Linked DNA regions of Sus scrofa. The protein of the gene in region 1 interacts with the protein of each later gene in a pairwise test. Links are inferred from orthologs where the notes say so. Each region holds a gene or a part of one and is shown on either strand. Other genes may lie near its edges.

Region 1 (4,595 bases):
GGACAGAATAACGTAGTTGAGGGAGGGGATGGGAGAGAAGGGCAGGAGAGTAAAGGTTGAGAAGGGGACAGGAGTCCATGAACTCTGGCTTTGATGATGGTGGAAGAGAGATGGAGTCACTGGAGGAGAAGAGAATATGGGAAAAGAGGTCAAATTTGTATGTGGGATGCTAGGTGGACATCCCAGGGAAGAGGTCCAAGTGGCAATAATAATTATTATTACAATTAGCACATGAGCCCCACTCTGACATTATCATTAATCATTTATTGAGCACTGTGGACACAACACCGACTGCCACAGACACAGCCCCTGCCTTCACTGGGCTGATGTTCTGTTGGTGAGGAACAGAAACTAAATAAACTACTGGACTGTGAAAATTTTATTTTTATCTTTTGCTTTCTAGGGCTGAACCCAGAGCACATGGAAGTTCCCAGGCTAGGGGGGAATCCCAGCTACAGCTGCCAGCCTATGCCACAGCCACAGCAAAGCCAGATCCAAGCCACATCTGCGACCTACACCACAGCTCACGACAACACCAGATCCTTAACCCACTGAGCAAGGCCAGGGACTGAACCAGCATCCTCATGGATACTGGTTGGGTTTTCCTCTGCACCACAATGGGAACTCCTAGATTGTGAAAATTTTAAAAAGGAAACCTCAGCTAAAATTGGAGTCAGGAAAGGCTTTCAGAGGGAGCTCTTACGCCCAACCACTCCTCAAAGACCCCAATCAGGAAGACATCAGTTACAGACCCCAATCACAAGAGACTTACCTTGCACTCCCAAACAGACACTGCAACTACTTCATTAAAGGAGAAAAGATTTTCTTCCCTCCCAGCAACAAGCCCAGCCAATGAAGACACCACAGCTTAGCCAATGAGATGCTGTCCTTACCTGAACGCTTACTTTCCTCCAAACGAACTTTTGTTTTTTTCTCTCGTCATGACTTCTTTGTCTCACCCTCCTTCCTATAAACGTCTTCCATTTTGAGCAACCTTTCGGACTATCTCTGCTTAACAGATGAGATGCTACTTGACTCACGAATTTTTTAATAAAGGCTATTAGATCGTCAAATGTACTCACCTGAATTTTGCTTTTTAACAGGGCGGAGAAAGAAATACTTCGTCAAGTAGGGATAAATCCTTGGGGGCGAGGGGGTTGTGGAATAAAACAACATAAGGGGACAGAGAAGGAATGACACGAAGGATTTATAAATATTTGTTAAACAAAGACTTAATGACAGACTGTGGATGGTTGTTTTAGTAGGTATTTAAGTAAATGGTCTAATCATACTCCAAATATTCCATAAGGTGAGTTTCTTCCGTTATACAAAGGGAGGAAGCTGAGGCAGGGGTATCTTAACGAGTCACCAATGCAGGGATAGAAACTGCAATCCAGAGAGAGGGGATCTCCCTCTAAGCTGAAAAGGTCCCCAAGCAGACGCCCCCCCGGAAAAGGCCATTTATGGGGCAAGCGGTGGGGGGAGCGTCCAGAAGAGCCGCGCGCATTGACCTATGACGTCATTGGGACGTTAAATAGCGTAACACTACCTGGACGTAGCCCCATTTCCCTTCCCGGACAGGTCCTCTGGTGGTCCGGAGCTGTCTGATTCAAACCTCTCATTGGCTACTCGCTCCGTCAATCCGTTTCATCTTATGGTCTTCCGACCCGCCTTCCAGATCTAGCCTTTGATAGGCTGAAGAGGCCGTCACTTCAGAAAGGTCCGCATTCCTTCCGCCTTTCTCCAGGAGACCGAGGGCGAAAAAGGTGGATCTCCGACGGTGCCCACCCCGGGGGCTCTGCTTAAGCCTCTTATTGGCTACTCTGGGTGCCGGTCGCTACGCCATCCACCGCTGATTGGGCATCCGGCCGCCGCTCTGCGCGGCGCCGGCTCCGCCCCCGTCGGGTGTTTGTGGTGGGGCTGCGGAGTCGCCGATCCCGCCGGAAGCGCCAGGACAATGGGGACCCGGGACGACGAGTACGACTACCTATTCAAAGGTGCGGCCGGTGGGGCACAGACGGGCTATGAGCGGCAGCGAAGCGGTGGGCAGGCGCCGAGGCTGCACTCCAGGCCTCTGGCCCCAGACTGGAGCCAGAGGGTTGGCGCCCGGCAGGCTAGGCAGCCAGGAAAGCCACTGCGGGTCGGGCATGATCAAGTTTAGGCCAGGGTTTGCGGCCCCGCGAGGCAGGCTGCCCAGAGAGGCTTGGGGGCCCTGGATGCACCGAGGCGGGGCCAGGGCCCAGAGGGGGTGGGGCCGGGGGCGGTGGGACAGGCCGTTAGAGGCGGGGCCTTCAGAGGGGGCGGGGTCGTCCCAGCGTTTGGCGGGCCGGGCTAGGTGGAAAGCGCCCTTAGCGGTGGGGGCGGGGCCTTTAGAGGCGGGGCTGGGATGTGGTGGGCGTGTCCAAGAAGTAGGCTGGGCTGCACGGGTGGGGGCGGTGCTCGCACGGAGTGGCAGGGGAGAGCCTTGATTGGTGGCAGTGCGTCTGGGGGCGGAGCCCTGGAAGGGAGGGGCGGACAATGGGGGTTGAGGTGTTGAATGGAGCCTGGTTTGGAGTGCGGGAGTCTGGATTGAGAGGAGTACCTGCGTTTGGGGGTTGTGGGGGTCGGAGGTGGGGGGGGATACTAAGTGTGCTGGACCCAGGCCTGGTGCTTAACAGCAACAATTATCTCTTAACTTTTAGAACTATAATAGCACCATCCAAGTACCTGCACTTTTCTAAGCACTTTATACACATGAATTCATTGAAACCCTCACCACAGCCAATGAGGTCAGTATTTTCCATCCTGTCTCTTTATGGACCTGGATACTAAGGCGCAGTTAATAAGTGTTGGAGCAGGATTTGAACCCAGGCCACATAGGGAGTGTATCTGAGGGAGCCCGTGACCAAGATCTGGGACTGGGCTTGTCAGACCACCTCCTCCAAACTGCTGGAGGATCTTCTCTGACCCTGGGGGACAGAGGGCTCTAGAAGCTTCAAGTAACCCCTGGGCAGGGCAGGGCAGGCAGCCAACAGCGGACTGGCTCAGGAGTCACTGACTTTCTAGTGCCTTCTGTGCCAACCTAGGCTTTGGCCAGGTCTTGTGCTGGGCTGTCTGGCTGACGCTGGCCACCCTTGAGAACTAATCTCTGGGCCCACACAGGACACCCTTCCCATGCTGCCTGCTGCATGAGAGTGTGCCTCCCATGCTGGCTCTTGGCATCTTGTCCTCGCTGGGGGAACTTGGCCATCCCTGGGAGTGTAGTCTCTGTCCATCCCTGACTGTGATATCATCCAGCATGTTGGGGCTGGGGGACCCTAGACATGTGGAAGGTGGGATGGAGCAGTCCCTACCTGGATATTCACGTGTAAGAGTTTTCTGGGCGGAGAAAGCCCCCATGCAAAGGCCCAGAGCTTGACAGCACCATTAGGCTGGGGGAGCTGCCTGTAGACTGCTGCTGAGGCCTCAGGCCCGGGCCCTGGTGCTGACTGAGCTTTGAGGTCTCACTCTAAAGGCAGAGGAGGGAGTTCCCATTTGGCTCAGTAGGTTAAAAACCTGACTAATATCCATGAGGATGCGGATTCAATCCCTGGCCCCACTCAGTGAGTTAAAGATCTGGTGTTATCTGAGCTGTGGCATAGGTCACAGACTTGGCTTGGATCCTGCATTGCTGTGGCATAGGCCGGCAGCTGCAGCTCCATTTCCACCCCTGGCCTGGGTACTTCCATATGGCACAGATATGGCCCTAAAAAAAAGAAGAAAAAAAGACACTTAGAGGCAGAGGAAGCTCTTTCAGGGCTTTGGGAACTAATGACAGGTGGACTGGATACCAGTCCTGCTGTAGCTGGTGCCTGTTTCCACCCAGCCCACCCTGAGGCAGCTGCTCCTAGGTCCTGGCTGGCACCCACCTGGATGTGTTAACTACCAGGGCAGGGGGCGTTCCTCCCATTGTTTCTGCAGTCATTCCCCATTTATTATTTTCAACATTTTTGCGTCACAAATAACACAGCTCCAAGTATTTGCACGAGTCATCTTTTTTTCCTTTGGGTTATTTCCTTGAAGTATGTTCCCAGAAGTACAATCACTGGGTCAGGGGCAATGGAGCAGGCTGTGCGCTTCCCAGGATTCATCTCCGGAGTCCTCTTCCTGGAAACACTTCTGGGACAACTGGCATGGGGGCGGTGCCCGCTTGCCCTGTTGCCCTCTCCCACTGGGCTCCTTTTCTTGAGCAGGTGCCCTGCTGACGTTCTCAAGCCAGGTTGAAAGTGAAAGCCTTAACCCACAAGACTGGTCCCAAACTGGTCATCTCAGACCTCATCTTCACTGTTAGGCCTTGTTGGAAAAACCCCCACCTCCTTATCTTTATTCATTTTTTCTTTTTTGGCCACCCCGAGATGTGGAGTTCCTGAGCCAGGGATCAGATCCGAGCCTGCAGTTGCAACTGAAGCCACAGCTGTGGCAATGCTGGATCCCTAACCCACTGTGCTGGACTGGGGATCGAACTTGTATTCCAGGGCTCCCATGACGAGAGCAATCCCCCTGTCCCCCTACCCCCCGCTCCTCCGCCGTTTAGTGTTTGTCAGGAAGTCCACTCAATTTTTCACTTACTTAAATAG
Region 2 (3,813 bases), on another chromosome or scaffold:
CACGAACATTGGTCACAAGCGTCCCGGAGACTCTATAAATAGATCTATTTAGCACTATTGGAAAAAGATAATTCACAGCATGTGTCCTAGAAATGTGAGTTCATAGCTTCAAAAGTGCATTTGGCTTAGATGTTAATGTGAGAAAACTAAAATACTCCATATAACTGAGAAATGATAGCGGGAGGATAAATACAAATACACTGATACGTAAAAACCAAACTACCTCGACTACATCCTTTCTAATTCCATTCGAGACATCATTTCCCCAAAATTTGATCTGAACTCTCTTCCTGGATCTATTTATATTCAATTTTTCTTTTTTTATATGCTACTACTGAGAGCTACCCCTTTATTGTAAATGTTTTACATTTACCACAAAGATGGCTTGTGACACAAAAAGGAAGGGTAACTTCTTAGGACTCGACAAATGTGTTTGTCGTCATAGCTACAGCATCTCAGGAATATGAAGAAGAGAAAAATCTTAAAGTTAAAAAAACTTTTTACATACTTGCAATCATTATATGTATAAAATGAAACAGCTCTAACACTGATGGACACAGCATTAACACTGAAGTAACCCAAAACAAAGTCTATATTTGGCAAAATGCCACACTCACTTTTAAAACACTAATTCTTAAGTCCATGTAAACAGCCCAAGTCAATTAAAAAGTTGAGGGTACCTATTTTTCCATATATTGCCCTAATATTTTTCTTTTTTTTTTTTGGCCACACTGGCACCATATATAAATTTCCCAGCCAAGGACTGAATCCCAGCTGCAGCTGCAACCTACGCCACAGCTATGGCAATGCCAGATCCTTACCTACATGCCACAGTGGGAACTCCATGCTGCCATAATTTAAAAACATTATTTTCCTACCATATCCCATTTTTCTTGTTTTTCTTGGACTCTAAAATTACGTACATTAGCCAATCTCTAAGTTATCTCAGATAGTTGCTTGCGACAATCTTTTTCAAAAACAGTTCAGTTAAGGAGGGGAGAAAGGAAACACATTTCTATTAACTTCTGTCGTTTAAGACCCACAATAATGTGAAGCACACCATATAAAATATCAAAATGAAATATTTGAGAATAGCACATCAAAACCATGGATTCGTCAATAAAATATTAATACCCTATGATAAAAAAGCATTTCTTTGGCATATAGCCTATAAAGAAAAGGGAATGATACATTCGAAAGCCACAGCAAATACCCATTTATTGATAAAAGAAAACAAAAGAAGTACAAACCTTCCCTAGAAAACTCTAAATGCATGTTTTAATGTATCATTAGAAAATCAGAAGACAGCTGGGGGATCACAAGCCTAAAAGGGCAATTGTTGGTACTCTTTTCTGTTTATAGTGGGACAAAAACAAAGCACTGTTTCTGAATAAAATATGACATGGCTACATACAGTGTAACAGCAACTACCCTTTATGGGGTCCCTATTTGGGGCCTGTCTTTGTACTATGTACTGTATCATTTATCACCCCCCAATCCTAACAAGTAAGAATCACTTTCCTTATGTCAAAGATGGAAATGCTGAGGTTGACAGACGTCACAGACCTACTGAGCCAGCTTTCCCACGGGAGTCTGAACGCCATGCGTTCCTGCCCCAGGAAAGAACGTCTATGTTACCTGGCAAACAGTCCAGCACACCCTTCCTTGACAATCGCTTAAGACTCCAATAAATTCATTTTATTCTTTGCTTGAAGTTTCCTTAATCAGTTATTCTACCATTCACTCCTGCAATTCCATCATCTTATTTAAACCATAGTTTCAATTTGTCCTAAGGAATTAGAAAAGTATCACATACATGACCGAGCCCAAACTTTATCATGATAGATTATTTCTGTGACTAAGTCATCATTACAGATACTCCAAGAGTACCCACAAGATTCACATAAGCATTCAGTAAACATTCACAAATAAAAACTACTCCAAAGAGCCATTTAATATAGTTAACACCTATTATGAAAACTATTACTACTTCAGCCAGCATGTCTTCAAGAATAGTCCGCAGGCTGCTATTGGTCCATAACTAATTTCTGGAAAATAAGGTGTAGAAACACGACGTACCTCGATTTCGTTTGAATTAACACCTACTGGTGGTTCACTCTCACCACGTCTCATCAAAAGCTATACTATTCTCTCCATAAGTTTCGGTGAGTTTCTGGCTAAGTAAGAATAAACTTCAGTACGGATTAAGAATCTTTTATCCTTCTAAGATAAAAAAAGTTCAATTCCAAAGATGTATGCAACATTGCCTGGCTCCAAAATTAATTATAAAAATAAGATAAGAATTTTTTTCAAGTAAAATGAAAGGAATTTAAAAGGAACATCCGATACTTTCAAGTACAATATGTTCCAAAATAGCAAAACTTTCCCCCTGTTAAGCTTACCTTGAAGATGGCATTATATTTGAAGCCCTGAATTTTGTTGTAAACGGATTAGTTGACTCATAATCAAAATAGTCCTGACGATTTTCACTAAATGCATTAGGTGATTTCAAGTCACAAGGGCTATCGGATCCCCCATTGTTAAGTTTATCAGACCTTCTGCTATCTTTTTTTCCAGTCACTCTTTCAAACAGGCTAACTTTCTCTCTTTTCTCTCTCTTATTTTCTTTTCTTACTTCAACCGATTTTGAAAATAAATTCACGCTGCTGTCCCAGGATTCACTGCTTTCTTCAAATGGATTTTTCTTCCTTGGCAGTGTTGCAAATTTTTGGGGTAATGAAGCAGTCACATTTGTAAATGGGTCACTTTGTCTTCCGAAAGACGATTCACCTTCTTCCACATTGCTGTCAGGTTGGTTCATTTTAGAAGTATCAAAGCTTAATGTTCTTCTGTGTGGAGATTTGAGACTTCCTGCAAACAATTTTGTAGTTAGTACATAATCAGTGACACATTACATCCCACTATTTGACACATCCTGTGTGCATACTGCCGCTTTTAGAATGAGAGCAATTAGCTATTTAAAGATATTAACCTTTAAAATAATCAAGGAAAACAATCTTAAAATGCTAAGGAACAGTGGTATGTAGGCTAATAACAATTAGTATCTGGCTAACAATTAGTAATTTACTCAGCTCAGCAAGAAACAATCACATAAACAAAGTATAATGTCAAAACTAAAGGTTCTGCTTGGCCCCGCAGTGCTATAAATTCTCAGACTTCTTTCATCATTAGCATTAAATTTACGTTCTTATTTCTGAACATTAAAGGTTTTTCCTAGGAACTTTCTAATGAAATGGGATATTCATTTATGCTTCTGGCTTTTAAGATGGAAGAAATGGCAGTTAAAAAAAGAAGAAGCCAGGCCACGAAGAGAGACCAGGACTCATTTTTATTACCTAATAATATAATACAACGCTGAAGGCAGACCCACTCCGCCTTCAATAAACTTAACAATTTTGAGTAGAGTAGGCACTCAATATTTGACGACTAAATTTAGAAAATACTAGCAAGAAACTCCCACCTTTCTTCTCTAACTTTAGAAGTCGATACTTTGAAAAGTAAAAGGGTAGCTCAGACCACGGAGGAGCGACTGGAATGTGTCACTTACCACTTTCCGGAACTGCTCCAAAGGGCTCTATCTGGCGTCCGAGAAGATGAGTTTGAGCGATGGCGCCCGACTTCAGCTTCTCCGAAGAAATGTGGGCCCCAGTTAAATCAGACATTGAATGCGCCGAAGAGAGTCGCTGAGGACCCAAAAGGAAAGGCTTTTTTGGTTTAGATTTCATCTGTATTTCACTACTTGAAAATTCAGTATTGGCATCAGGCATGTGAGAACTTGGAATGATTGCAGAA

What was found.
Region 2: the proteins of RAB11B (region 1) and RAB11FIP2 interact in binary tests that used the Homo sapiens proteins (3 or more experiments, as listed by UniProt). The link is inferred for Sus scrofa from reciprocal best matches to the Homo sapiens genes RAB11B and RAB11FIP2.

What each region holds. Positions count from the first base shown.
Region 1 is NC_010444.4:70,893,138-70,897,732, reverse strand, and holds the start of RAB11B (ras-related protein Rab-11B), read left to right. Parts: upstream 1-1,563; 5' UTR 1,564-1,957; coding exon 1,958-1,997; intron 1,998-4,595. UniProt on the Homo sapiens protein: The small GTPases Rab are key regulators of intracellular membrane trafficking, from the formation of transport vesicles to their fusion with membranes.
Region 2 is NC_010456.5:128,100,845-128,104,657, forward strand, and holds part of RAB11FIP2 (rab11 family-interacting protein 2), read right to left. Parts: coding exon 3,569-3,813; intron 2,872-3,568; coding exon 2,403-2,871; intron 1-2,402. UniProt on the Homo sapiens protein: A Rab11 effector binding preferentially phosphatidylinositol 3,4,5-trisphosphate (PtdInsP3) and phosphatidic acid (PA) and acting in the regulation of the transport of vesicles from the endosomal recycling compartment (ERC) to the plasma membrane.